Linked DNA regions of Ovis aries. The protein of the gene in region 2 interacts with the protein of the main gene of each other region in a pairwise test. Links are inferred from orthologs where the notes say so. Each region holds a gene or a part of one and is shown on either strand. Other genes may lie near its edges. The genes, in order: LMO2, ADAMTSL4, PRKAB2, NATD1, FLNA, LONRF1 and apolipoprotein L6.

Region 1 (4,103 bases), on a different chromosome or scaffold from region 2:
TCCAGACCCTTCAGTGCCATCTTTAAAAAGGGAATACAGTGTCCATGACCATGATCTAGACTGCTCCTATAAAACCATGGATCCTGAGAATACTGGTAGTTTCTTCTTTACAAGACTTGTGGCACGCTCAAGTAGGCCTTTAGTAATAATTTCTGAATGCAATTATTTTCAGGGATCTCTGATGAGGCCCAAGGGACCTAAAGCTTTGCTCTATTGAAGAGAAGACTTTTAGCTTCCTCCTCTCCCGTTCTACATTCGCCTCTCTTCTTGGAGTTTGCCCTTGAGATTAGATGGGGAAGCCTGAACCAAACAAGTCTGCGTTCTCTCTCTTTTCCTGACCCAGGGCAAAATAGTCTCCAAGCATTGCTCTCCATCATTGGAGAGGCACTTTTCTCTGTGAAGAGTGCTATTGGCCCTTTACGGGGCCAGTTTAACTGTAGGGGTCCGATTTTTAAAGATGCTGAGGGAGGGAATTCTGCCGCCGGCAGATGGAGAGGAGACTCAGACCAGCTTGGTCCCTCCCAAACACCCTCCCTCGGGATTAGCTGCCCCTGGTGCTGCTGAGGCGTACCCAGCCCGTGCGGTCCCTGCTCGCACAGCTCCCGTCGTCTTTTTGGAGCGCGGACGCAGTCACAAGTCCTCAGCCAGCAGAGCCGCGCTGTCTTGGGGGCATCTCCGCGTTCCCTGGCCGCGGACCTGGGACCTCCAACCCCGGACGCGCGCGAAAGCCACTTGGAACGCGTACATCTCTGTATGTGTTTATTTCACATTTTCGTTTTTTCTTTCTTCCTTGAGCGGCCCGCTGGTCACTTTCAATCTTAGTTAACCAAAAGGGGAACGCCGAAGAGGGAAAGCCCTAAAGAATGCTTCACAGGCAACCCAGCCGCCTCTCCAAGGAGAGGTGGTCTCTGAGCGAGTCTCCCTTGTCCCCGACGCTGGCCCCTTTAAGAAGCCAACTCAGTCTTGCTGCGGCTGCCGCTGTTTGTATCGCTAATCCCCAGGAGCCCCGTTTAAAAAAAAAGGGAAGAAAAAAGATGGTGGTGGCGGGGGGGACCGGGCAGCTGTCTCTTTAAATGTGATTTCCTTCTATTGTATTTGAATCGTGATCAGGAAAAAGGAAATGAAACCAGAGACAGAGGGAAGCTGAGCGAAAATAGACCTTCCCGAGAGAGGAGGGAGCCGGGGGAGAGAGGCGCGGTCCCCTCCCCGCCCCCAGGCCGCCGCCCCCTCCCTGCCCTCGGCGGCGAGCTGCGCGCCGCGACCCCGGCTGAAGGTGCGAGGGGCGCGGGGCGGCCGGGCGGGCGCGCACCATCCCCGCGGGCGGCGCGGAGCCGGCGACAGCGCGCGAGCCGAGCCAGACCCGGCGGCGGCGGCGGCGGCGGCGGCGGCAGTGGCGGCGGGACCGGGATGGAAGGTTAAGTCCTGAGCAGCAGTAGCAGCTGCAGCCGCCCGGGGCCAGGCTGCGCGCCCCGGTCCCCTCCTCGGCCGCGGCGCGCCGGCAGCCCGGTGATTCGCTCTCTCTCTTTGGCGTTTGAAGGGAGCGCGGTGACTGTCCTTGAGCGCGGAGGGGCGAGCTCGCCGCCAGAGCGCCGGAGCAAGAAGAGGCGCAGGAGCGGCGGCGGCGGCGGCGGCGCCCGAGCACCCGAGGGGGTCCGAGCCCCGGCAGCCGGCCAGCCCCGCGCCACAAAGGGAGCGCCCCCGCCGCCTGGCACGCCACCTCCCTCCCCAATGTCCTCGGCCATCGAGAGGAAGAGCCTGGACCCATCTGAGTAAGTGTGACGCCCCTGCCACCGAGGGTCCACGGCCTCGCGACCCGGAGCGGCGGGGTGGGGCGGGCGGCCGGCGGGAAGGCTCCAGGTGCGCGCCCGCGGCGTGCCCTTGGTTCCCTCTGCCGTGCGCGGGGCTCCCGCATCCTCTTGGGTGACCCCGGGGACACTGGGAGAGGGGCTGGTGGCGGGCGGCAGGAATGCGGTCGGCCCGGCGCCTCAGCGGGCCCCTCGCGGCTCCCTGGGACGCTCCCTAAAGCCACTTCGGGCCAGAAAGTTTGCACAGGAGCATGCACAAGGGGAGGTCAGAGGCGCGCCGGTGCAGTCCCGAGAGCCTTCAGGACTCGATTCTGCTCCCTTTTCCCCTCTCGTTCCTTCTCTTTGTCCGTTTGGTCCTGGAAAGGGGGACACTACAAGTGGAGCCCCCCACCCCGGGTCCCCGACGGTCCCCTTCCGGGTCCGCAGGTGGAGCGGTTGCCCACGGCGCCGGGGACCCACGGGTGAGGAGGTGCGAGAGTTCACCTCGGAGCTCACCCAGGCCTCCAGAGACTTTAGAGCAGCCGAGCAACACGGGAGTTAGTCTGGATACGCGGACACGCCTCTCCCCTCGGAGTCCACCGATGGGTACCTTTGAACCTCCAAAGTTAGTGCACCATTTTGGATATAGGTGAATTTTTCCGGAGAGCGGAGTCTTAAACGGCTTTTGTCACAATCTCAAAGGGTTTAGGGTCTGGGAAACAGAGCTCTAAATGAACCGCATTTGTTTTCTGAGCCCATTGCTCAGTGTTAACATGGGGAGAGAGGGATGTTTAAGATGTCATTTTCCCGTCAGCGCAAATGCCCTTTTAAGATTCATTAGCTGTCTGGTTTTGAGAATTTTTATTCCTTTGAAGTCCCCATCTAAATCCTTTGAAGGGATTTGTTACACAGACCAAAGGAGCTGGTTAATGACTTGTCCATTTGTGCTTTTAAGAGGCATTTGTTTTGTTTTGTTTTCTTTTCCTGCTTTAAAAGAATTGTGCTTTCCTGATTGAAATACCTCCTCCTCCCAATTTCAGCCTCCTATGGTGTTTATATACCTGGGTTTTACCAGCATAAAAGCTCAGCGTGTTCTCATAAAACACAGGAAGTAACCATGATCCAGTGAGAATATAAACATCACTATTCAATCTTGAAGGTTCAGAAGCCAGATCTACAAGGAGTCAGGTTTGTTCTAACAAAAACCCAGCTTCCTTAAATTCTCAGGGAAAAAAATAACATTGCTTTTTTTTTTTTTTTTTAAGTATTTGTTTAGGAAAACTCTGGGAAGGGTGCTTTGCTCACTTTTTTTTTTTTTTTTTTTTTACAAACCTAGAATGATAACTTAGCCCTGAGTTTTCAGAGCCTGGGCAAGATGATAGTAATACAATAAGAGAGTGCATTGGATGAATTACCTTTGAAAGGTGCCTAATGCCTTTTCGATCAATAGAACTTAGTCACTAATCTTTTTATTAGAAGATAAATCTGGAGGTTTCAGTTCCCTGAAGGAAGGTTGCTCCTTTCAAAGTTTGTGCTTTTTCACAAAGAGACTGGAAAATTGAAACATGTTCACCTCATAACACAGCAGGCATCTGCGGAAGGATGCTCAGTAGGGTGCTCTTCTCTATCCTTTGCTTCACTATTTGCCCAGTGAAGATAGGCTTTAATTGGAGATGGACCAGCTAGCTGAGAAATTATTGCAGAACATTTTTCCCCCATATCTTTCTTGGAAACTGTTGAGAAATTATCCCAGAAATCCAGGCCAAAGTGTATTGAGGTGTAATGTTCAGATAGGCTCTAGGAGAATGTAAAATATTAATTAGAGGGTGAGTCCCACAGTTATTGGCTTGGAACCTCCACCAAAGATAATGTGATATTATCTTTAATTATAGAAAGATAGAGCCAATATCTTATTCAGTCCTTTCCTATCTCATATTAGGCCATCACAGACAGTAGCTTTTTGGCTTAACATTTCCTCCTGTGGACCACTACCCTACCAGATGCTTCAGTGAGTACATACTTGGGTCAGTGTGACTGAGGTCAGTCTGATCAGCAACTCCAAATTACACCCAGAAACTTGCCTAGGCCTATGCAAATGAAACATTTAGACAGAAAGACAGCCAGAATTCACACACACACAGATTTCCTCTACTGTGCCGTCGGTGGCCCCTCCTGCCTCCCTGTGAATAACAGGAGCAGTTCATTTCAATTCCAGGCAGTTTTGCACCAGCTAAGTGCAAATTCTCTTCTTTCACAGTTGGTTGGCAGGATCTGCGTCAGGGCATCCAGTGGTGTTGAGGTTCCATGAATGTTTCTGAA
Region 2 (4,166 bases):
TGAGTTTAAAGTCAGAAAGCAAAAAAAAAAAAGTCAGAAAGCAGGCCTGGGCACCTGGGACTCATCTGTTTGTTCTGTTTCATTCCAAATATTTCTATTAACTCTACAAATACAAAAACCAAAACAGAAATACAAAAGATGAAAAAACAGAGATGACACAAAGTGGCCTAAATGGTCCTTGTCTTGAGAAAACTTAGGGGTTTATTGAAATAATAATAAATCATAATAAAATTATAATTTTATAATATAAATTATATAACTTATAAATTATAATAAAATATAGATATTGAACTTCAAATAAGGATATAATACTTATACTTAAAAGCATTTTATGTTTTCACTTCCCTCATCTCTTGAGACAACATTTGCTTCTGTTGAGTCCAGTACTTACCTCCCAAGTCTGTCTCCAACTAGACCCAACTCCTTAAGGCCAGAGGCTGTTCTAACTGTGCCCTCCACACCAAGTGCAGAAAGTGCTCAATAAGTATTAGGTGGGAACACCTGATACCCTGCTACTGAATATCCTGGTTTTAAAATATTGACAAGTCACTGGAAAAAAATAAATAAATAAAACCTTTCAAATGCTTGAGAGTAGACCCAACAGTACATGACTGTAGTTCATGAAAAAATGGCAAATAAAACTTTTAAAATAGTGGTGACAAGAAAAATAATGACTTTATCTACTCTGTCATTTTACGTGTATTATTTATTTCTTTACCATAAAAAACAGATAATGCCTGTGGTTAAACATTCAAAAACATATAAGCATACAGAGTAAAAAAGTGAAAGCTTATATTTTTATTTTCCTCTCCCAACCCCTCCCCAGCTGCTGCCCCCAGTTCCGAGTTTGGGATGTATTCTTCCTGATCTAAGTAACTAGGCAGACATATCTCCAAGCCTATTCGTGTATGTCAGGTTAACCCCATTTTACAGATGAGGAAACTGCAGCACAGAAAGGTTGAAGCATTCATCCAAGATCACAGAGGGAGATTCAAATCCAGATCCTCTGATTCCTAAATCAGCGCATTCCTTGCGCTACGCCCCGTAGGTAACATTTATGGATGAAGAAACCGAGGCTTAGAGGGTCCCTGAGCAGTCAGAACCACATGGTTCACAGTCCAATTTAGGAGAAGCAGGGATAACTGGGCTTGCACGGGAGGCTGCGTGATGGAGAGGGCCCTGACCAACGTGGAATCGAGGTCAGGCTTGACCATCTCCCAGCCCAGCAACGCCCCAATGTGGGGCGCGGGGCTCGCCCACGCCGCTCGGGTACCGGCGCCACCAACCCCTTGGCGCCCCTCGCGGCCGCTCCGCCCGGGCTGGCGCAGCGCTCGCACCGCCCACTCAGAGCCGGTCGGGAGACCGCGGTCCCGGAGACCCGAGCCCCAGCCGGGTCGAGGGACAGCCCTGGCGCGATGGCTCCCTCGGAACCCGGCTGGGACCTCCTCGGCCTCGCCCCCTGGAGCGGTCGGCAGGTGCCGGGCGGGAGCGGCCAAGGCCCGCAGCCCAGGGTGGGTGGCCCTGGCGGGCTGGGGATTCGGGGGCCGCCGGGGGGCTGCCGCCGGGCGCGTGGCGGGCGGGCTGGCGGGGCGGGGCGGGGCGGGGCGGGGGCGGAGCCGCGGCCGGAGGCGGCCGTAGCCCGGCCCAGGGGCCGCAGTGGCTGCCGCGGAGCGAGGCTGCCTGGAGGGAGCGCCCGGGCGCAGAGGGGTTAGCTGGCCGCCGGGGCCGCGCAGAGCAGGTACAGATCTTCCCTGGGACCCCTGGCCCCGGTCGCCCTCTCTCCCCCGTCTGGTTAGACCATCCGCCCCACGCCGCCGCGCCGTCCGGGTTCTCCGAGCCCCGCGGTCGCGCCCCAGCCACGACCCCGGCCCCAGTTCTTATAGCCTCGGAAGATCTTCCAGTCCCTGGGGTCCAATTCCTGGGGAGGGGGCTCTGATCTCTTGGAACGCTGGCCCCATCACTCGGACGAAGAATCAGCCAAAATTCCTACACAGAATAAAACTGGAAAACACACCCAGGAGCTCCCGGCACGCGCCGGGCACCTCCTGCCCTTCCCCTCTGGAACGGTATTTCTGGATGATGCGTTCCTCCCCCATCCCCCCAACCCTGTCATCCGCTTCCGTCCTGGGTTGGGGGGCACAGACGCTGGGAGGGTTACAAGTGGGTGCCCCGAATCCAGCTCAGCCTGACGACTAGAAAGGCAGGACACCTGTTGGGTGGGCCTCCAGGACCCAGGAGTGGCACAAGGAGGACCAAGGAGTTCTCGCCCAAGACAAGGACTCTGCAGCCAGCCCTGGAGCCCTGGACCCACCCCCTGCCCCTCAGTGCCACTGTTCCCCAGAGGTAGGTCTCTTGGGGTTAGTGAAGCGGTTAGTTCTGCCCAGGTCACTCCTCCTTGATCTCCACTGGCCAGTGTGGAGTTGTGGCAGGGAGGAGCCCAGGTTTGTCTAGACCAGTGTCAGCCGGGCCCAAGAATGGCCAGTTCTGTCTGACCTCTCCTTTCTTCACTCTGGACAGTGAGGCTCACCAGATGAGAAACGGAAAACATGAAAAGACTGAAAACCACAAATGTGTATCTGTTTCTGCAGCGTTTGTGTGTGCCTGTGTGTGCATGTGTCGGCCCCCTGCCCAGCTATGCGGGGGGTGGGGTAGGACTTTTCCAGAGAGGGAGCCAGGCCTGGCCCTGGCCCCAGGAGCTCACGTCACCCCACCCCCCACCCCTCACTTCTCCAGGGAGCTGCCAAAGCCAAACCCAGCTCAGGACAGGATTATGTGTACTGGGTAGACCCATAGAGAGAGACAGCTAGACACAGGCCTGGGGTAGCAGAGAGAAGCAGAGGCAGAGGAAGTGGAGAGGGGACCCAGCAGCAAGAAGTGGCAGTGACCAGCCTCCCATCTCCTTCTCTTCAACCACCAGGAAGGGAGTCAGGCTGAAAGCTGAAGGTTTGGGTGGAATGTTGGCCCTTCTCTGGAGCCCCTACCCGCCTCCTCATCAGGGCGGAGTTGCTGACCTCAGTGGTCAGCCCAGCCAAGGGAAGGAGCAGCCATCAGCAACCCCCTTCACAACCCCAAGTAGCTGAGGAGACCGTTCGGGCACAGGCCCCGCCACTGTGATCCTTCTCAACATCCCAAGCGCTGGGGTCTCAGGGAGGTGAGGGGGAATGGATTTGCTACCTCCAAGCACATTCCTGCCCTTCCCTCTGTCATTTTCCTGCCCCTGAGCTGGCCCACCTCAGCATTAGCTCCTTGGATTCCTCTCCCGGGTGCCTTTCAGATCCAACAGAAACATTTTTTTTTTTTTCCTGGAAAGCAGAGCTCAGAGCAGCATGAAGAGTGGGGGTGGGAAGGGTTCATTGTGAAGGGACTGGAGGGCCAGGGGGAGCCATGGGAGAGCCAGGCTTAGACCAGGGGAGGGTTCCAAGCTCCACTTCTCCAGTGATCAAGCTGAGACTGCAGGATGGACTTCCTGGCTCTTCAGAAGATAGACCCATGAGTGACTGGGGACCAATAGCCTCTCTAGCTGTATCTCCCCTCCCCAGCTTCCCCCAGCCATCAGAGTCTTGCCTGAAGGAAGGCCTCATTGATCCAATGCCAGAGGCTGGCCCCTAGAGGGAAGTTAAATATCACTGGGGAAAATCACCTGCTTCTCTAGAGATAAACCATCAGCCCATTTAGTTTATCCCTTGGCTGCAAAGTTTGAGATAGGCACAGTTGTGTCAAGTGTTCCAGAAGGAGCTTATTAGGTAAGAAGGCAAGAAAAGGCTGAGAAGCAGGTGGGAATGGAAAGCCCAGGGGGCTTCCAGTCAGCAGCTCAGAGAGGATGTCTGAAAAGTCCTCACTGAACCTCCCTCCTCAACCCTCTTAAGAAAGATGCATGTGTCTGAGCTGGCCTAGAGACAGTCGCTGTTTAGGACACAGGAGCTGAGAAGTTCCTGAAGCTGAAGGAGGGGACTGCGCCTGAGCTGGGAGGCTGAGGGCAGACCTCCACCCCTTCAGCTTGGGTAGATGGACAAAGGCAGTGCTCCTTTTCCCTCTCACCTTTAGGATCATTAAGGGATGGACCAATCTTCACCCCTCCATTCTCACTCTGAGTTGTCCTTCTGAGAAGTCATCCCTCCCAATCCCCAGCTTTCCGGAGACTGGACCAGGCTTGGGTCCTTACAGAG
Region 3 (3,542 bases), about 2.4 Mb from region 2:
GTTCATTGCTTTGAGAAAATGGAGATCAAGTTTTTCTCTTAAGTCACTTCCTTATATAATGTGAAAGTTCCTTCAGTTCTCATTGTTTACTAAGGATTTTGTTGCCACTAACGTCTTATACTGTAGTTTTGAGGAATATTCAGAGACAGTATGGAAGGTTGACTGCCTCAGCCATTTTGAAAGTAAAGCGCAAGTGAATAGTCTTTTTTTTTTATCCCACATTATTTTATTTGGTATTAATAATATTTTGGCTTGATACCATAAAGACTTATTTACCAAAGTCATTTAAGCCACTCTAAAGTGTGGGTCAACAAGCTTTTTCTGTAAAGGGCCAGATAGTAAATATTTTAGACTTTGTGGTAGACCATACAGTCTCTGTCACTGATATTCAGTTCTGCCATTGCAGCATGAAAGCAGCTATAGAAAATGAGAAAGTGAATGAGTGTGGCTATTTTCCAATGAAACTTATAAAAGCATCTGGCTCACTGGCCATAGTTTGCCAGTTTCTGTTCTAAAGGATGGTAATGAAAATAAACTTGACTAAGGAGTCAGTTTTCTTCTGCAACCCTACATACCTCATTTGATATGGGAACCACTTTTTTAAAGGAAACTGTGTTTTTGATCCGATGCTTCTTGTAGCTCCACAATTTTCATCCCTACTCCTGAAAATTACTAGTATAAGCCTGACATGGATGAATAAGTAAGATTTCATAACTATTTCTCAAAATTTAGGAAACCAGTGATCTGATTTTTATGTATTTAATGTCTTTTTATAACCTATTAACTAAAGAGGAAATTATGAATTATTTAAGAATTTTAGTATCTCTAATTTCTATTACAACTGATAATTGAGATGCTTATATTTACATATGAAAAATACATGGCTCAGGACTTCCTTGGTGGTCCAGTGATTAAAACTCTGTGCTTCCGCTGCAGGGGTGAGGGTTTGAATCCTTGGTTGGGGAACTAAGATCCTGCATGCTGCATGGCACAGCAAAAGAAAAAAAATAGATGACTAACTTAATTATTTTTTGTAGAACTGTGCTTTATTTTGATATTTTTCTCTTAAGAGATAAGCATATCATGATTGTCTGCCTATGAGTTAATCTGGTGACAGGAAGTAAGATTTTTTGTTTGTTTGTATTTTAAGGGACATCCCAAGACTCTGAAAGGATGAGTGATTCATGCAGACTCAGAAATTAAGCTGTGATTTGGGCAGACTTTGGGCATAAGCCATTTGACCATTTGGGTCCTAGATGAGTTTCTTTTCTATAGTTTTGTTCAAAATTTGAAGTAGTTGCTCATTTCAAGACTTATTAATCCTTATCAGAAATGTAGCACCCCTCTCTGCCCTAAGGAGGAGAGTGACCTTTTCAGAATTCCAGGGACACAATTTAGGGATGACCTAATCCTTCTTACAGCTCCCTGGGGACAAAGAGTTTGTATCATGGCAGCAGGATTTGGAGGACTCCGTAAAGCCCACACAGCAGGCCCGGCCCACTGTTATCCGCTGGTCTGAAGGAGGCAAGGAGGTCTTCATCTCTGGGTCCTTCAACAATTGGAGCACCAAGATTCCACTGATTAAGAGGTGAAGACAAGTGTCTTGGTTGAGTCTGCTGGGTCCAGGAGTAGAGACCCAATTCCCTTTCTCAGGAGAGAGACTTGGCTGGACTACTCCTCTCCACCTGCTAGGGACTTTCTCTAGAACATTTTTTGTGACCAGTAACTATATCTGTGACATTTTTTTTAACCTTATAGTGAGTCAGAGATGTTTTACCACTTAGAATGTCATTGCCTCAGAGGGACTTCCAACAGTTTTGGAGGTATGTTCTTTAGGATTGTGTTAATAGAAGTCCTTTCTATGCTTGTGGGAAGTCTCCCGTAACTGCCTGAGTCCAGTTGCCCTGACTTCTGCACTAAAACAAAACACGTTGTAAAGTTCTAGGTAGTAATGTTATTTGTTGCTTGCAGAGCAACAATGAGTTATGTAACTGACTATGGCCCTTTGTATATAGGTAATTTTCTAGAAAATGCTCACCAAAATGTGGAAAGAGTACCTTGAGGCACTTCATATCCTGAACCTACTTGCTATCTTTTTTACACTCCTGAGGGATCTGTTCTGCTGAAGCAAAATAGTTGTACTAAAGTGAAACATTCTGGGGGATTAATATCTTTATTGTTCTTTTTCAGATATTAGTTAAAAATTAAAGTTGTTAGGAGGGATAGCAAATACATGCTCAAGGGGATATAGAAAAGGAGAATGGGTTTATAAATTATTTTTCACTCCAGGGGGTGCAATCACTTAGGAATGTGGGAGATCACTGGTATGATACTGTGATTGCCTCATGGTTTTACATTTATCTTCTGTCTTCTAATAAGAATTTAGCCTGTTTAACTTTCTGTTTTCTTCTGTAGCCATAATGACTTTGTTGCCATCCTGGACCTCCCTGAGGGAGAGCACCAGTACAAGTTTTTTGTGGATGGACAGTGGGTTCACGATCCATCAGAGGTAAGACCTTGACCTCCGAGGGTAACCACTGGCTTAACAGTCTCCTTTTAGCTGTTATTCCGCTGGGTGTCAGATATCATTGCTGTTGGATTTCCCTGTTGATAAAAGATGGTGGTGTCAAGTATAATCTCTTCTAAAAAGAGGAGAGTTGAATGGATGAGATGTATTTGAAATGGGGATTCATGAATTTTTTTTTTTTTCCATTCACTGTTTCAGCCTGTGGTTACCAGTCAGCTTGGCACAATTAACAATTTGATTCATGTCAAGAAATCTGATTTTGAGGTGTTTGATGCTTTAAAGCTAGATTCAATGGAAAGCTCAGAGACATCTTGTCGAGGTAATTTTGTAGTATTTGCTCTTTCTTGATCTTTCCTTTCTTAAAATGCATGTTTCTTCCCAAGAGTGGTTTTTGTTTTTTTCATTTTCGACTTAGGAATCTTCCAAATTGTATGTATGTTTCTCCTGTAAACATTTAGGTCATATTCTCAGAGAATGAAATCTGTGTAATGTGTTTGATTTCACAGTAAGTGAAAGTAAATATATTTGATCTACATTAAATTTACATTGTAACCCAACACACACATCACACAAACCAGTAACATGTCTTGCACTATGATGTTTGCCTTTATTACATGTGAAGCACTTTATTTTCTACTTTATTCTTCTTTTTATAAACGACTAATGTGCTGTGATCTATAGTTTAAAAAGCTATTTCTAATAATATTTCAGTTTTTTCATTGACCTTTGACAGTATCAACTAGCAGGAGCTACTTATGTCTCCTGTGCCATGTTTAGCTGCCTCAACTTAATCCCGCCAGATTGATAGCTTAGTTGGCAGTTGTATATTTAATAGGCCCTACCCATATGGCAGTCTTTGGGGAAAAAAGAGTTATAAAAACCTCAAATTTCTTTTGTGTATATGTTAACTGAAATTTTTAAAGTTTTGGGTTAAAAAAAAAAAATCCTCAATAGAGGAATAGATCTCTATGCTTTTGTTTCTCCCAGTATTTTTTCCAAGGCCTTCATCTCTACT
Region 4 (3,974 bases), on a different chromosome or scaffold from region 2:
AGCAGTTGGGGAGGGGGTGGGGGGGAGGTGTTGTCCAGTCCTCTTTCAAAAATGTAGTCTGTTCCCCACTCACCCACCCAGAGTCCTGTGTGTCCTCAAGCAAGTCCCTGGCCCTCTTGGGACTCAATCCCCCCACCCCCACCACCCAGTGAGTGGGTCCAGGGATCTCCAAGGAGCTTCCCACATTTGTTTCTGGGGTTAGAGGTGGCCTTTCACCAGATCGCAAGCCAGGCTTCTCGGGACAATCGTTCCAGCGGTGTGTGACCCTCGCAGGTCTTCCCCAGGCGCCTGTGTCAAGCGCACCTACTTCTCGGCTTCATGAGCGCTTTCTGCAGCTTCCGGGGCTTTGCTGCGCGCAGGCACACAGCAACCACTGAGTAAATGGTGGCTGCGAGGGGACGGTTAGAACTGCCCTATAGGTCGAAACGTGTGTTTGAGACGGGGTCCTTGGGGGGTCCCCCAGAGTCTCCTGCAGGTCGGGGCCAGAGGCCCAAAGGCCCCAGCACAGAGCTGTGCGCGGCGCTGCGCCTTTAAGAGGCGAACGGAATGTATCAAAACAGAGCGGCTGCGCGCCCACTGGTCGCGCGCCGCACGTGACCGCACAGCTGATTTCCTGCTCCCCCCTTTTTGTTGCTGCGGCCGCCGCCGAGTGTCAATTTCCGCGCCGCCGCCTGCGGTCGCCCCCAGTGCGGCTCCGCGCGCTGCCCCCCGAGCCCGCCGCGCGCCCCTGGCCCGGGTCCGAGCGCCCATGGCGCAGTCGCCGGCAGCAGCGTCGCCGGGCGCGCCGGAGCAAGGCTGCCCCATCCGCGTGGAGCACGACCGTCGGCGTCGCCAGTTCACCGTCCGGCTCAACGGTAACGCCGGGCCCGCCCGCCCCCGCCTTTTGTCTGCGCGCCGCAGGGCCGGGGGCGCACTCGCGGGCCAGGTGGGGGCGGGCGCCCAGGGCGGCGCGAGCCCGGGAGCGGCGGAGGCAGGCGCCGGGCGGCTCCGGTCCCGCCTCGGCCCGGGGGAACCCGCACCTGCTTGGCCCGGCTGTTTTCCGGGATCCTGCCGAGGTCCCGGGGAGAGGGTGTCCCGCCATTTCCCCATTCCCGGTGTTGAGTGGCTTCTGGCTGCCTCTGCGAATCTTCGCTTCTTTGCTCGGAGGGGGCTGGAAGACCCTGCTAGACCGACCGGGGGCTGACGGATGGAGGGGCTTCGGCCCGTCAGGGGCGGGGCGGGGCGGGTACGGGGAGGGACGTTGTCTCCTTCAGACCCCGGCGGCTTTGGGGCTTGGCCAACTTGCCTCATCTCTGTGCGCCCGTTTCTCGCCTCTACAGTGGGATTAACTCCTGGCTGGTGGGAAGAATTGGATGCCCCAGTAAGAGTGAGGTTCAGAACAGCGCCTGCGGCAGGTAGTCAGTGCTGGAGGACTTTACTGATTTTTTTTTTTTTTTTTTTTTTTGCTGGCAGGGTCTTAGTTGTGGCATGCGAACTCTTAGTCGCGGCAATTTTGATTTTTTAGTTGGGGCCTGTAGGATCTAGTTCCTTGACCAACCGGGCGCCTTGCATTGGGCTCTCACTGGACCACCAGGGAAGTAATTGGGCATTACTTCTTAAACCAGAAGCGAAGTCAAGCCCTTCACCGCTTCCTAGTCCACGCCCCCTCCGCCTGATTGAGAAATGGAGGGTTGAATTCCTGGCATCCCACCCCTCTCTGTTAATAACTTTTTCCTCCCTCCCAGCTGGGCCTTCTGTGGTAGTGCCCAAGCTGGATGGGCCCGTATGGGCCACTGTGCCCTTGTCTGAGGAGGGAAGGGCGAGGCTTCCTGAGGTCAGGCAATGGGGGGAGGGGCAGAACTCGAATAGGGTCTTGTCTGGGCGGACTCCTCCCACCTGCGCTTGGAGGTTCTGTCGGAGCTGGGACTTCACCTTCTCAGACCCCATTTGGCTGTGCTCGGCTTCGAACCCGGCCCCAACACACGTCTGTTACAACCTACTCGTGACGTGGCCGTCACCACCCTGTGTTCAGAGGAGTAAGCTGAGGCCCCCGCAGGCCAGAACTCAAACACGTTTTCCTTCCTCTTCTCCGATATAGTGCCCACCCTGGCGCACCTGGCCGTGACTCTCAGGGCTCCCCTGCTACTCTCATTCCAAGAGGCCCCCTGGCTTTTCAAGGCTCCTGAGAGGCCTCTGATTTCCTTGTGGGTGTTCAGGAGACCCTCAACACTCAGAGAAAGAAGAAAAAGGGGACTTTTGGGGGTGTTCCTTCTTTTTTTCCCTAATGAGTACAGCCATTAGGGACATCCTCTTGAGTTGGCTGGGGTCAGGACTGGATGAGCCCAGCTGCCTTTGTAAACTTGTCCTGTCTGTCGCCTCCTGCTCAGATGGCTGACTCTAAAGTGGACCAGGATCCTTGGCCAAGTTCTCACCAGTCTACAAGACTGGGCTGTGTATCCAGGCTTGAAATGGTCTGGGTGTGTACAGGGGTGGGCCGAGGGCTCCTCTGTGCCCAGGCCCCAACCCTGCCTCAGCTGAGGAAGGGAATGGCCTGCCATGGTTTCAGCCAGGCCCTGGAAGCCAGCTCACTGTGCCCAGTGAGAGAGGTGGACACTGAGGCTGAGAGGTGGAGCAGCCCTGTGGCTCTTAGCACAGGTGTGTGCCAGCCATCCCCTGGCAGAGCTAGGCTGGTGAGTCCCCAGCAAGTTCCAGGTCTGGGGAGGAAAGAGCAGCTGTGTGCATTCAGTCCTTGGGTTTCCGGCTTGCCCCTCGCACTGGAGTCACTTACTTTATCCTCAGCATTGCGGGCGGTGTTGGTGGAGGGGCTGCTCTGCCCATTTTACAGAGGAGGAGACTGAGGCTAGGATAGGAGACTGACCAACATGCCTGCAGTCTTGCACCTTGGAGATAGAAGAACTAGGATTCATGCCACAAGTGCTTCTTGAGAGCTTACCATGTGCCACACATTATTGTAAGTGCTGGGGGCTCAGCCATCTGAGGGTCAGTGGACAATAAAGCATAGACCATCCTGAAGAACAAGACCTGTGAGAAATAAGGTTGGGGTGTTGGGAAGATGCCGGTGCTTTTTGTTTGTTTTTTTGGCCACACTGCATGGCATGTGGGATCTCAGTTCCCCAACCAGGGATCAAACCCTGCCCTCTGCAGTGGAAGCATAGAGTCTTAACCACTGGACCACCAGGCAAGTCCCAAGGGCTGTTGTTTAGAGTCAGGTGTCCAGGAGGACCACCCAAGAAGGAGGCAAAGAAGGGAGCTACGGTGGCAAGAGTGCTCCTTGTGGAGGGGGCGGCAAGTGCAAAGGCCCTGGGGTGCCTGATGTGTCCTGGGAGAAACAGAGCCAGGCCACAGGACAGAGGGCATCAAGAGGCATGGAGGCAGGTGGTGCGGGGCTGTGGCAGGCATTATGAGAACTTGGCCTTGACTCTGGGTGAGATGGGTGCCTGGGAGGGTTCTGAGCAGTGGGTGGATCAGATGTCATGGGCTCCCTCAGGCTGCCTGGGGGCAGGCAGTGTGAGCAGATGGGGAGAAAGCCCAGTTCCTCGGTGCTTGCTGAAGGAAGCGTGGATGGGGTGCTGACATGGGGTGTGAGAGGACATGGGTGCTCAGGCTTTTGTCTGACTGCCCGATCCAGGGCCTGAAATGCTGGGGTGACACGTGGGCTAACCTCAAATAATGAGGACCCAGCCCTGGGGGACTCTAGGGGAGGTGCCAGGAAGAGGGAGCAGCTGGCTGAGGCAGGTGGCCCTGAGGGCCGCGGGGAGGCCGCTGAGCTGAGGATGGGCGGGGTCTGACTCTGCTTCCATGGGGGGTGCAGGGGCCAGTGGACATGTGAACAGTGGTCAGATTCCAGACAGATATTGAAAGTTCTGCCCATGGGCCTGCCGAAGGCTCAGACTGGCATCTGAGAGATGTGCGAGAAGGACCCCAAGCACCTTGGCCTGGCTTGTTCGTGGCCGTGTCTCCAGCTCCCGAGAAGT
Region 5 (4,125 bases), on a different chromosome or scaffold from region 2:
CTAGGCGATCTCACCTGGGGTCAAGGTGGAGAGGTCATTGCCAACAAAGGCAGCAGTGGCTGCGGAGAGGCCTGGAGGGCAATCAGTGCCTTCCTGTTAGTGTGCAGCTGTAGATATCAAACTACGTTAGCAGGTGACAGCAGACTTCTCCTTTCTTCCCCCCTGTTCCTTCCTGCTTCTCCCCTTTTGCCTCCCTCCCTCCCTTCTTTTTGGAGAAGGAAATGGCAACCCACTCCAGTGTTCTTGCCTGGAGAATCCCAGGGACGGCGGAGCCTGGTGGGCTGCTGTCTATGGGGTCACACAGAATCAGACACGACTGAAGCGACTTAGCAGCAGCAGCAGCTCCCTTCTTTGCTTTTTCTCCTTTAATGAAGTAGAATAAAAGAAGAAAGATCAGAGTGCTTTTCAGGTGGTAAGGGACAGTCTCACTTCGTGGAACGTTTATTTCAGCCATTTGTGTCGATCTGCGTGTGTGCCTGCAAATATTGGCTCAGGATGTAAGATGCAGTTCTTTGTGGGGGTTGTGGGCACAGTGAGAAGACACTGCTTTGTGTGGCTTTCCCCGAGGAAGTGACATTTGAGCTGAATACGACGCTGTTAATACCAGGAAATGGGCACACAGAAGACGAAGAGGGAGCCTGGCAGTGCCAGGGTGTGGCTGTGCCCACCTAGTTCCCCAGACGCTTGGCTCCTCGGCTGCACCCCACTGTCCATGCCCAGGCCTCAGGACTGCAGCTAACTGTGCTGCTGAGAATTCAGTCCACTTCTGTTGCTTGCTTCCAGGCCAGGCCTGGCACTGGGCAGGGGCCAAACCCATGCCAGCCCGGGATGTTGTTTGGCTTGTCTTGGGGCTCAGGTCCCTGCCCCCGTGCAGACTTTCAGGTGGGAGGCTCTCAGTGCATACCTGCTAGAGCCTGTTGCACTTCCCCCTCCAAGGTAGAATCCAACTAGTCCGACCAGCCCCAGGCTTGGGGTAAAGGTAGGGGGGCGGCGCAAGACTGGGCAGCTCCCTGGAGGAGGTGGCCTTCGTTGCTGGGCCGAGACGCAGGCTCTGCAGACCCTCCGGGCCGCCCCTCCCCGTCAGCAGAGGGTGAGCTCATCTCAACGGGGGTAGGGGGGCGTCGCCGGCTGCCCAGGCGCCTGAGCTCACGGCGCGCCCCCGCGGGGCCCCCCCTCGAAACCCCCCCCCCGCCCCGCTCCTGGGTGATTTTTACCAATTAAGGCTTTCTCGTCGGGCCGAGTCGGGCCGGGTGCGGGGCGGGGGTGCGGCCAACAAGAAGGCGGGCGGCAGCGGCCCATTCGCGTGGAGGCGCCCGGCGCGCAGCAGACGCCAGCAGAGCCCCGAGGCGCCAGGCGCGGGCTCGAAGATCTGCCAGGCGCCACCCCGCGGCCGCCGGCCGCCCGCAGGGAGAGAAGGTGAGGCGTCCGCGGCGGGCACCGGGCGGAGCGGTTGGCGGGCACCGAGCAGAGTGGTCGGCGGGCAGCTCACGGAGTTGGTGGTGGGGTGCCCGGGGCCAGCTGCAAGCCGGGGTGTGGTGGTGCAGCCGCCTTCCCTGGTTTCCTGGGGAATCTGGGTCTGGCCCCGCAGTGTGAGAGCCCAACAGCCATGGGGGTGCCCTGGGAGGGTGAACTGGGGGGCAGGTCATTGCATGACTGTCCAGGAAGGCAGGGCTCTGAAGCAGGACGTTGTGTGGGGTCAGGGCGAGAGGCCACCTGGAAAGACACTTTGCAGCCAATATGCCCCCAGGAGGGATGTCGACGGTCGGTTCCTCCCTGACATCAGTGCTCTGGGCATTGGCTGCGTTGGGTAGAGGTGTGGGGCTGGCTTCTGGGCTGCTGCGCTCCACTGGGGCGAGGGCACATGGGGTTGGCCATGCTAGATTCGAGGCTGGGCCCTGTCCCAGGTTGGCTCTGAGCTGGATGTTCACTGCCAGGCAGGATGTGAAGGCCAGCCCCCCACCCCCACCCACCCCAATTCCTGGGCCAGGAGGAGTAGGTGACGGCCGCTGGGAGACCCACCTGCACGGGCTCCTAGCAGCGCAGTCAAGGTGGGAATTCAGCCCTGGAGCGTTGTCAGCCTGCCTGCCACACCTGGGCTTGGGCAGCCTCTCCTGCCACCCTGTGCCTCTCTTTCACCAGCCGTGGGAGGGCCTGGCTTGGGGTCTGAGGGAAGGAGTTGGGGTGGGAGGCGGGGTGTGTCTAACAACATCCAAGAAATCGACTCCAAATAAGGGAAAATATGAAAGAGCTGTATTTCAGCTTCCAGGGACTGCCCTATCTGGGGGCTTTGGGATGGGGCGCCACCTGGTGGTGATACTATGTCCCCTGGGGACAAGAACTCGTTAGAGCCCCATCTCTTATCACCCCCCAAATAGGGAAGAAGCCTAAGGCTGGCAGCCAGGGCTTCTGTCCCCCTTTCTGCTGGAGTTGGCTGCTGGTTACTGACGCTGACTCAGTTTCCCTGCTCTCTGCAGATTAAGAAAAGAACACAGATAATGCAACTGGATGGCACTTGTCAAGTGACAATGAACTCTCAGTATGATTCTCTCCTTGGGGGACTGGCTCTTCAGGGGGGCAGGGGATCAGAAGGATGGCTCTCATCTCTGCTTGGGTGGGGCCTGCTAGGGAGGAGTCTGCACGGGTCCCCCTCTACTGCTGTCACTCCCACCTCCATCCCAGTCCCCAGACACCATGGTGTGGAATTTTGCGCAGGTGTGTCTAAAGTGGTCAGGCCTTTAGACTGAAAAATGTCACTGGTGAGCAAAAACCAGTGTGGGGTACCAGGCAGCCCCAAAGAGAGCATGCTGGAGGCCAGGTGCTGACTGCAGCCCCACTGTGGGTGACACAGTCCCCAGGGCTGTGAGAGTTGGCCTTATTTGGGCATGCTGACCTAGGGGCTTCTTTCCCACTGGTCTTTAGCAGAGAACTGAGGTACTGCTAGTAGGAAGCTCGATCTAAGTACGAAGCAGGAGGGACAGAGACATGCCTTTCTGGGGGAAAAAAAAAAAAAGATGTGAAGAAGGGAACATCCTGCAGAGGGGAAGGACACAGGACCGAGGGAAGTGAGTCCACTCTGGGGACGAAGCCACCAGTAGGCTGGCTTCTCCAGACTGAAGAAGGTGGCAGTGACTGTCCCTGACAGGCCTCTTGCTTCTGTGCCTTTGTTGGTCTTAGTATCCCCCCCATAGTCTCCAGTTATCTACAAGAAAATGTATTTTGAGCGAATAGGTCCCCAGTACCCAGTCCTGGCTCCACGGCAGGCCCCAGCTGCCTTTCATGGTTTGCCCCCCCTCAGTCCCCTGGCCCCCCTGTCCGGGAGGCCTCCTCTGTTCTCCCACGACCCCGAAGCCCACTGAGACCCAGGTGCTCAGAGTGCATTATCGGAAGCCCGGGGCAGGTCCCTCTGGCAGCCTCCTGGGTCACGCTGGGCTCAGGGGCCATCCCAGCCACGGAGGGGAAGCCCCTCGCGCCTCTGGTAGACTGCCGGTGGGTGAGGCAGGCTTACCCGCCATCTCTGCATGCATCGCATCACAGGGCACCCCGTGCCAGTGCCCATTGGCATGCCCAGGCCCCTTCCAAGGCTGCTGGCTCCTGGAGCGCCGGTGGCCTCCTGGCCCAGTGCCCCATTTCCTCTGGGGTGCAGGGGGGAGGGAGGGAGGCGGTTGGGACCGGCGGGCGCAGGCCAGGATCCTGCAGAGCGGGAAGGCTTGCTGGGGCAGGGGTTCTGGGGTTCTGGGGTTCTGGGGGTCTGGGGGGCGGCTTAGGGTCGTGCGGCTACGGCCTTCCCTGGCGTGGCGCACGCACGCCCGGCGCGGGCAGCAGAGCCTTCTCCAGACCCGCGCTCTCCAAGGGCTCGCCCCTTCGGATCGGGCCCTTTCTCTCGGCTGCCGGCGAGGCGGCTGGCTGTGGCGCGGCCAGGGACCCCCGAGCGCCGGAGGTTGGGGGGGAGGGGGCGGCGGGGACCGAGCGGAGTCCACGTGACTCACGGAGGGCGAGCCACCCCCCGCAGGGGCCTTGGGGAAGGAAAGTCCCTTGTATGGTGTGCCCGCTGCAGGCCAAGCGGTCCCCCGCTCTAGACGTTGCTCAGCCTTTCATCGCTGCAGCGTCTCCTACAGCGCGGGAGGG
Region 6 (3,542 bases), on a different chromosome or scaffold from region 2:
TATTAAGGAGTTTTATTATAGTTTTTGTTTTGTTTGCCCAGGACGGTGGGTGGTAAGGTCTTTATGCCCTTCCCACAACGAATGCTGTATTTTATAAGCATACATTTTGGAAGCCTTTAAAGATGAATAATAGCTTTAAAAAGAAGAGTCAAGTTAATGTCATCTGTAGATAATTGAAAATTGATTTCTGGCTTACACTTCAGTTTCAGAATCCATGTACCTGTAGTAATTTTTTTTTTTACCTTTTTTTATTGGAATATAATTGCTTTACAGTGTTGTGTTTCTGCTATACACTGAAGTGAAGCAGCTATAAGTATACAAAATCCTTTCCTTCTTGGGTCTGCCTCCAGCCCTCAGGTCATTAAAGGGCACTGAGCTGAGTTCCCTGCGCCGCTCCGCAGGTTCCCACACGCAGTTTCACGCATGGCAGTGTATCTATGTCCATCCTGACCTCTCAGTTTGTCCCACCCTCCCTGTCTCTCCTCTGGCGCCCATGTGTCCATCCTCTGCATCTGAGTCTGTAGGAAATAGGCTCATCTGTAGCATCTTCCTAGATCCCACGTGACCTGTAGGAATTGATTGTAGTACCATCAGTGAACCAGCTAAGCGTCTGAAGTTTTAGTGCCTTTGGATACGAGTTCGGTTTCTCAAGTAGAGACAGAGAGCATAGTGAAATTATCACCTAAAGCTTTTTACCCTCAAATATTTGAAAGTAAGTCATTCTGGGGCCATCCAATCCTGTTCTTATTAATGGCAGGAATTTAAAAAATTTTCCCTCTTAAGAAACCTGACTCTTGTCAACCCATTTCCTCCAGAAACAGGACCACCGTGTCCTCTCATAAGATCGTGCCTCGGTCAGTCTTTGTAACTATGGGAATTCTGTGTGCAGTAGTTAACACATGTAGTCATTTATAAAGATTTCAAAATCAGATATAAAAAAAGGTTTACCACAAAAAGACAAATCTTCTAAACATCTGAGATACATCTTCTAAATCTTTGCCTATGTTAGGAAAACATTCAGTTTCTTAGGGGTGATCATATTATCAAAATATTTTCAGTTTTTTAAAAAAAAATCAGTTTCCTCCACTAAAATAATCTAACCATAAGGATTTGCTGTAAGTTAGAGAAATGTCAGTATGCCAGTGGGTTGCACCTGTACTGTGCTTGGCTCACTGCCTTTGCGTCAGTGGTTATTGACTAGAATCGCTGAGTCAGTTCTTACTTTAGTATGTTTCTGTGGATTATACAGTAATCTTTTAAAAATAATCAAGCCTTCATAACATTGATTTCAGAGCCCAGCGACTTGACTCTGAAAATCTACAGAGCTGAATCGTATGCTGGCCTCCAGGAGTTTAAAGCAGCCATAGAAGATTTAAATGCAGTTCTCTTTCAGCTGCCAAATTGGCCTGAGGTAAAATTACTGTTTTACATTTGCATGCATTTAAGAAGTTCAACTGTAGGGAATATGCATTTCAATTATGATTGTAAGTCACAACGAAATGGATTGGGCGATTTCTTTTAAATATATGGAATAGTTCTAGAAGTCTGAGGTCAATATTTTGAGTGGATGAATATCATCTGACAGTTTTTTAGACTATAAGAAACATTTGTTTCTTAACTAGAGAACAACTTGACTTCGTGGCACAGGACAAAAAAAAAAAAGAATTTAATATACAGCATTTCCTCAAAGATGTACTATTGTGGAGATGGACCCAAAGAAGTTATCAGTGGAGGAGGTTTATTAAAGGAGAGAGAAGAGCTTCTGTGGCTGAACAGCTGACTGAGGCATTGTGACGGGAACTGGGTGATGAGGCAGTCGTTCAGTACGGTAGATGGGGGCCTTGCCCATGGTCTTTTGAAAAAAGATTTGCAGCATGTATGTATTATATAATCGGTTTACGAATTCTCCATTTTACCAATACTGTCAAGGCAAATCAATCCATCTCCCATGTATGTTATTTAAGTTAAAAATCATCTTTTAATGTGACTTTTTTTTCTGCATTCAAAGCTATGCCTTTGAGGACTGTATAGTAAGGATGCTCTAAAATTTATAAATTAATAAAGAAAATGATTCAGAATCTCATGATGACATGATCAGTTGGTACAAGTCAAATCAGTGTTAAGAATACGAGGGAAAATGATTTGTACAGACAGCTTTGGTGGCAGCAGTGGTTTAGTCGCTAAGTCATGTCTGACTCTTGCGAGACCCCATGGGCTGTAGCCCACCAGGCTCCTCTGTCCGTGCGATTCTCCAGGCAAGAATACTGGAGTGGGTTGCCATGCACTTCTACAGGGGATCTTCCCAACCCGAGGATCGAACCCAGGTCTCCTGCGTTGCAGAACTCTTTTGCCAACTGAGCCACCAGGGAAGCTCTTAAAACCATTAAACAGGAAAGAATCCTCTGGACTTACCATTGGTGGGATATAATTAGAAATGTGGCTTTGGAGTCATTTTCTGGACCTCATAATCATAGGTGCCTATCCCGGGTAGGATGTAAATGTGCCTGTAAAATGCTTTGGGCTCCTGAGAGTCATTCAGAGTTTCAAAATGAACATTTCCAAGCAGAACTTTTATTTTTAACCTTACGTGATATTGATGTTTCAAAAAACAATTCCATCCATAAAAGTTGGGTATGTGTGCTTTTATTGAAGGTGTACTTCAGGAAAGGAAAAGTCCTCCACGATGCTGGTTTTTTAGGTGATGCCTTACAACTGTTTCTTCAGTGCTTAGCGCTCGATGAAGATTTCGCACCTGCAAAGCTAGAAGTAGAAAAGGTAATCCGTTTAACAACTCTTAACACTTCCAGCCAGTTTCCCGACAACACAGGTCTTTTTGCAAACGCCCGCTAGACTTTTGGGGTAAGGACATAAGGGGTGTCCATAAGTCAGATTTAGTAGCAGTTTGATGAGGGGTTTTCAGGTTCAGTATGCTTATTAGCATATTGAGTTCTTACCCAAATCAGAACATTTCAGAGAGAGTTAAATGCATTACTTTCGCCTAGTTAAATTTAGATGTTCTCTAATAGTCTGTTCCATGGGAGCCAGACCAGTCATTCCTAATTAAACATTGTTGTCATGATGTTCCTGCTCAGGAATTTTTATTGGCTTCCTTTGCCTTTCATTTCAGGTCTCAACTTTGCTTGCTTTCCGTGGTTGCCAATAGTACTGCCCCACTCAATTTATTTTGCCTTAATTTTCTCAGTACTCCATACATCACTTTCCAGAGTTTGTTCAGTGGTAGGTGTTAATTAAAAGGAAAAGGGGTTCTCTGATCAAATGACTCTGGGAAACACTGGGTTAAACCAATCAAACAGATTTCTTCAGCCCCTCTCAAGAGTTTTTGCTTTGCTAGCATGACAACAGCATTCAGCTTTTGCCAGATTTACTCACAGAACATCTGGGAAGACTAGAGTCTCTGAAAAATGTTCTGGGAAAATCTATCCTAATAAAATTTCAGTGCCCAGTCATGTTGTTTCCTTCAGTGTCCCCCAAAGAGGCCACAGCGTTAATTGCGTTTTTAGTGTTGCTCAGAACATGGCTTT
Region 7 (3,976 bases), on a different chromosome or scaffold from region 2:
ACAGGACTGAATGACTGAGTATGCACGCATCCTATGTTAGGCAGCAATGCCTCCTGACACAGAACTACAATCTAATTCTGTTACACATGTGTAGCTCACCTAATTCCCTCAGGAGACATTGGCTGATGGCCTATGTGGGGCTGACGATGCTATGTCTGCTGATGAATGCATGCTGGAGCTTAAATTCATGAATGAGGCAATGTTAAAGGGCTTTTTTGGTGATACATCAACCTCACAGAAGTGACGTCCAAGGGGGCAGTTTCTGCCCTCGGAGTCCTGTTGCCCAGGGTCAGGTACCTAACAAGAACTTGACTTGTGCTCCAAAATAGTGTAAACCATGGAATATTTTTCTCCCAGGGACATATCTTCACATACATAATGACCAGTGAGAAGGCAGGTCTCATTCATGGCTGTTCTCCTGGAACACATTTGTCACATGTCGTGAGAATGCCTAAGCATTTCTGCAGAAGTCGCCCTTTCCCCAGGGACACAGGGCTCTGGATTACCTTTGCAAACTGACACCAGTCTTGCAGGCTTTCCCTGCCTACCTGTCCAGCAGGTTCTGTGGCACCAAATCCATGCTCATTTTGTCCATGGGAGAATGAGAGCTGTCACCACGACTCAAAGGATTTTCTGGGTGAAGACACAGAAAACAAGTTCCATGAAATCGTATGAAATTCAAGTGTGGGGACTTCCTTGGCAGTCCAGTGATTAAGTTTCCGTCCACACTTCCAATGCAGGGGACACAGGTTCAATCCTGATCGGGGAACTAAGATCCCACCTGCTGTGAGTTATGGACAAAAAGATTTTTAAAACTTCAAAAAAGAAACTCAAGTGTGGAGGGATTTTAGATGATGCGAAATCCAAATAATAATAAGACATAAAGGACTAAATATTTGAAAACTGTTGTTTTTACATTATATGTTGAGGTGAGCTTCTATAGGATAAGTACACAAAACAAAGTCCTCAGCTTCATACATTTTGACGTCACACATCCAAGTCATCACCACCCAGATCGAGATAAAGGACAGACGGTTTCCTTAACCCAAACCCAGCCAACATGCACCCCACCACACGGGTGATCACTACACTGATTTCTATAACCTTTCATTTGTTTGCCTGGTCTTGATTTTCACGTCAATGGCATCAGTTCTTTGGTTTCTTTCTCCCAACACAATGTCTGTGAAATTCTTTCATGTTGTCATGGTTTTAAAAACATTCAGTAGCTTCAAAAAATGAGAGGGCTTCCCTGATGGCTCAGTGGTAAAGAACCTGCCTGCCAATACGGTAAACACTAGTTCAGTCCCTGATCGGGGAAGATCCCTCCTGCTAGGGAGCAGCTAAGGCCGTGTGCCACAACTACTGAGCCTGTGCTCCAGAGCCTGGGAACTGCAACTTCTGAAGCCCACACACCCTAGAGTCTGTGCTCCGCAACAAGAGAAGTCACTGCAGTGAGAAGGCCCCATTAGCCGCAGCTAGAGCTCTCGAAGCAATGAAGACCCAGCACAGCCCCAAATAAATAATGCTAGAAATACGCTACAAAGCAAATGTCAAGCACTTGGGAAGTGGAGGAGCCCCGTGTGATTCCAGTTAGGTCTCGAGCAGTGGATCTCCATCAGGGATGAGCTTTCTCCCCGGGGGATAGTGGTGACGCCCATAGACATTCAGTGGTGGGCGTCAGGGGACACTGCTCCTGGCACCTAGTGGGTAGAGGTCGGAGATGCTGCTAAACACCCTACAGTGCACAGGACGGCCCCACAGCAAAGAACGGTCCAGTCCAAGCTGTCAGCGGTGCTGAGGCTGAGAAACCCTGGAGGAGCCCCAGCCTTTCCCAGCAGCTCCTGAAAGCTCCCCCATTTCCCCTATTATTCCTACTAAATGAAGAGCTAAAGTGACAGCAGGGAGCCCTTTGGTCCCACCAGGTCCCATCCTCTCACTACTGACCTTCTCTCGGGAGATGTCAGAGGATGTTATGTTGGGAGAGGGATGGAAATGATGGGCGAGGATTAGAGAAGTCATTTTCATATGAGAGCTGATATGTATGAGACTTTCTTTGTTGTTTGGGGAGCCTTCAGCTCTGCCGTATTCTGTCCCTTCCCCTCAAACCAATTCCCTCATATACACCATTGATGTCAGAGAAGTTGGATACTCTGGAACACAGCTTTGAGATAATCCCCTTAATCTTTATCACCAACTCCTGCCCCTCAAACTCCCTAAATAAGCATACAACACAAGAAACATTGCAGGTGGCAATTTTGAGACAATTCATCTGGCATCTTTTCCTATAAAGATGATACTCCTAAACCACTCTTGTAAAGAACAGCTAGGGAAATGCCTTGGCCCGTGATGTCGCTTGTGTTCTGGGGTCCAGGTCTCTCTCTGTCTACGATCCAGGGGTCCCCAGCCAATGGAGGGGAAGATGCAGTTTGGTTGGTCTAATCACATGCTTAATCATGTTTTTATTTAAACTTCAAATGACCTCTGAGGGAGAGATTTCTATCCCAATTTATCAAGTAAAGAAACTGAATTTCAGACCGGAGCTGACACTAGGAGCTGGCCGGATGGGGATTTGAACAGCATGGGGGTTCCTGACAGTAACTCTTTCTCCCAAACCAACTGCAGGGGCAACCTCTTGGGCCCATTGTCCTTTAGAAGTGAGGCCGCAGAGCAGCCCTCCTCCTGGGTCTCCTGGCCCACCTGCTCTCAATGAAGCACTCACCGTGGCCTCAGGTCCCAAGGGCCTGCCTTCGTCTCCCCTCCAGGGGTCTCAGATCCAGCGGAGGGCTGTGAGCGTCTAGGCTGCAGGAGGGCAAACACACAGAGCAGTCTCCAGCTGGTCTTGCTCATCATGGGAAAGACCCGAGGCTCTGATTGCAAAACTGGATGCAAGTTCAGTGAGGCAAGCACAGAAGTGTCAATGCCAAAGCAGCTCTGGGGGGGGGTGGGGGGGGGGGGGCGGGCGTGCGGTGGGGGAGACCTCCCCGGAGCTTATTGAGCAATGGTTGCACTTTTACTTTCCTTTCTGCTTCTTTCTCTAGGAGATGTGCAATGAAGGAGCTATCTGAATCTGTCAGGTCCAGTCTCACCTCTCCTGGTCCCAGCTGTTCCAAGAGCAGAGTGAGGGTGCTTACGCCCTGCAAGGACTCTGAAGTCAAGCAGACCATCTGGAGCTGTGTCACTGTGAGCTGCTTTCTCAACTGCCCTTGGCCTTGATTCCCCGTCTGTGAAATGGGTATTTAGTAAAACAGCCCTTGTGGCAGAGAGCCACTGTGAGGAGCCCCGGAGCAAATGAGGCAACGCCCAGCATGGAACCAACACCTAACAAATGCGTCCACGGCCCTGCCATGAGAGCGCTCACCTGCCCTCCGAGGAGGGGGTTGACCCCAAAGTCGAAGGCCTCTTTTCTGTGACTGTGAAACGCAAAAGGCTCTGGAAAACAGAAACGTTTTTTCATGGTTCATTTGGTGGTAAAATGACCCAAGCTGGAACAAGTGTATAGTTTTGATGCATCCACCTTCTCTTGAATATTGTTTCCCTGCAGAAATAAACCTAATGTTTGAACAAGGAGGGTGTTTGGGGCTGATCTCAGGGCTATCTATATATATAACTGTATTTATTCGTTTATTTGGTTTCAGCTGTGCTGGCCTTCACTGCTCTGTGGGCTTTTCCCTCGTCTGGCGAGCGGGGCTCCTCTCTAGCTGGGGTGCATGAGTGGCTCGTCGCAGCGGCTCCTCTTGTTGAGGAGCACGGGCTCCAGGCACATGGGCTTCCGCAGTTGCGGCTCCCAGGCTCTAGAGCACCGGCTCTGCAGTTGTGGTTCATGGGCTTAACTGCCACACAGCGTGCAGGCTTTTCCCGACCAGGGACCAAACCCTGGTTCCCTGCATGATTCTTTACCATTGAGCCACCAGGGAAGCCCCGGTCTCAGTGTACAATAATCCATGTTGTGTTTGGACCGCCCCTGGGGTTCTCATGC

Evidence for each region.
Region 1: the proteins of ADAMTSL4 (region 2) and LMO2 interact in binary tests that used the Homo sapiens proteins (3 or more experiments, as listed by UniProt). The two-hybrid records come from large-scale screens. The link is inferred for Ovis aries from reciprocal best matches to the Homo sapiens genes ADAMTSL4 and LMO2.
Region 3: the proteins of ADAMTSL4 (region 2) and PRKAB2 interact in binary tests that used the Homo sapiens proteins (3 or more experiments, as listed by UniProt). The link is inferred for Ovis aries from reciprocal best matches to the Homo sapiens genes ADAMTSL4 and PRKAB2.
Region 4: the proteins of ADAMTSL4 (region 2) and NATD1 interact in binary tests that used the Homo sapiens proteins (3 or more experiments, as listed by UniProt). The two-hybrid records come from large-scale screens. The link is inferred for Ovis aries from reciprocal best matches to the Homo sapiens genes ADAMTSL4 and NATD1.
Region 5: the proteins of ADAMTSL4 (region 2) and FLNA interact in binary tests that used the Homo sapiens proteins (3 or more experiments, as listed by UniProt). The link is inferred for Ovis aries from reciprocal best matches to the Homo sapiens genes ADAMTSL4 and FLNA.
Region 6: the proteins of ADAMTSL4 (region 2) and LONRF1 interact in binary tests that used the Homo sapiens proteins (3 or more experiments, as listed by UniProt). The two-hybrid records come from large-scale screens. The link is inferred for Ovis aries from reciprocal best matches to the Homo sapiens genes ADAMTSL4 and LONRF1.
Region 7: the proteins of ADAMTSL4 (region 2) and apolipoprotein L6 interact in binary tests that used the Homo sapiens proteins (3 or more experiments, as listed by UniProt). The two-hybrid records come from large-scale screens. The link is inferred for Ovis aries from reciprocal best matches to the Homo sapiens genes ADAMTSL4 and APOL6.

The regions. Positions count from the first base shown.
Region 1 is NC_056068.1:63,296,624-63,300,726, reverse strand, and holds the start of LMO2 (rhombotin-2), read left to right. Parts: upstream 1-1,265; 5' UTR 1,266-1,407; coding exon 1,408-1,414; intron 1,415-1,537; coding exon 1,538-1,769; intron 1,770-4,103. UniProt on the Homo sapiens protein: Acts with TAL1/SCL to regulate red blood cell development. Also acts with LDB1 to maintain erythroid precursors in an immature state.
Region 2 is NC_056054.1:100,567,536-100,571,701, forward strand, and holds the start of ADAMTSL4 (ADAMTS-like protein 4), read left to right. Parts: upstream 1-1,326; 5' UTR 1,327-1,511; intron 1,512-1,655; exon of another isoform or gene 1,656-1,738; intron 1,739-2,228; exon of another isoform or gene 2,229-2,343; intron 2,344-2,917; exon of another isoform or gene 2,918-3,151; intron 3,152-4,044; 5' UTR 4,045-4,166. UniProt on the Homo sapiens protein: Positive regulation of apoptosis. May facilitate FBN1 microfibril biogenesis.
Region 3 is NC_056054.1:98,147,460-98,151,001, reverse strand, and holds part of PRKAB2 (5'-AMP-activated protein kinase subunit beta-2), read left to right. Parts: intron 1-1,421; coding exon 1,422-1,588; intron 1,589-2,415; coding exon 2,416-2,509; intron 2,510-2,725; coding exon 2,726-2,846; intron 2,847-3,542. UniProt on the Homo sapiens protein: Non-catalytic subunit of AMP-activated protein kinase (AMPK), an energy sensor protein kinase that plays a key role in regulating cellular energy metabolism.
Region 4 is NC_056064.1:34,974,251-34,978,224, reverse strand, and holds the start of NATD1 (protein NATD1), read left to right. Parts: upstream 1-1,171; 5' UTR 1,172-1,186; coding exon 1,187-1,394; intron 1,395-3,974.
Region 5 is NC_056080.1:80,076,538-80,080,662, forward strand, and holds the start of FLNA (filamin-A), read left to right. Parts: upstream 1-1,301; 5' UTR 1,302-1,416; intron 1,417-4,125. UniProt on the Homo sapiens protein: Promotes orthogonal branching of actin filaments and links actin filaments to membrane glycoproteins. Anchors various transmembrane proteins to the actin cytoskeleton and serves as a scaffold for a wide range of cytoplasmic signaling proteins.
Region 6 is NC_056079.1:23,417,123-23,420,664, forward strand, and holds part of LONRF1 (LON peptidase N-terminal domain and RING finger protein 1), read left to right. Parts: intron 1-1,292; coding exon 1,293-1,411; intron 1,412-2,652; coding exon 2,653-2,775; intron 2,776-3,542.
Region 7 is NC_056056.1:179,478,484-179,482,459, reverse strand, and holds the start of apolipoprotein L6, read right to left. Parts: upstream 2,820-3,976; 5' UTR 2,720-2,819; intron 634-2,719; 5' UTR 596-633; coding exon 549-595; intron 1-548. UniProt on the Homo sapiens protein: May affect the movement of lipids in the cytoplasm or allow the binding of lipids to organelles.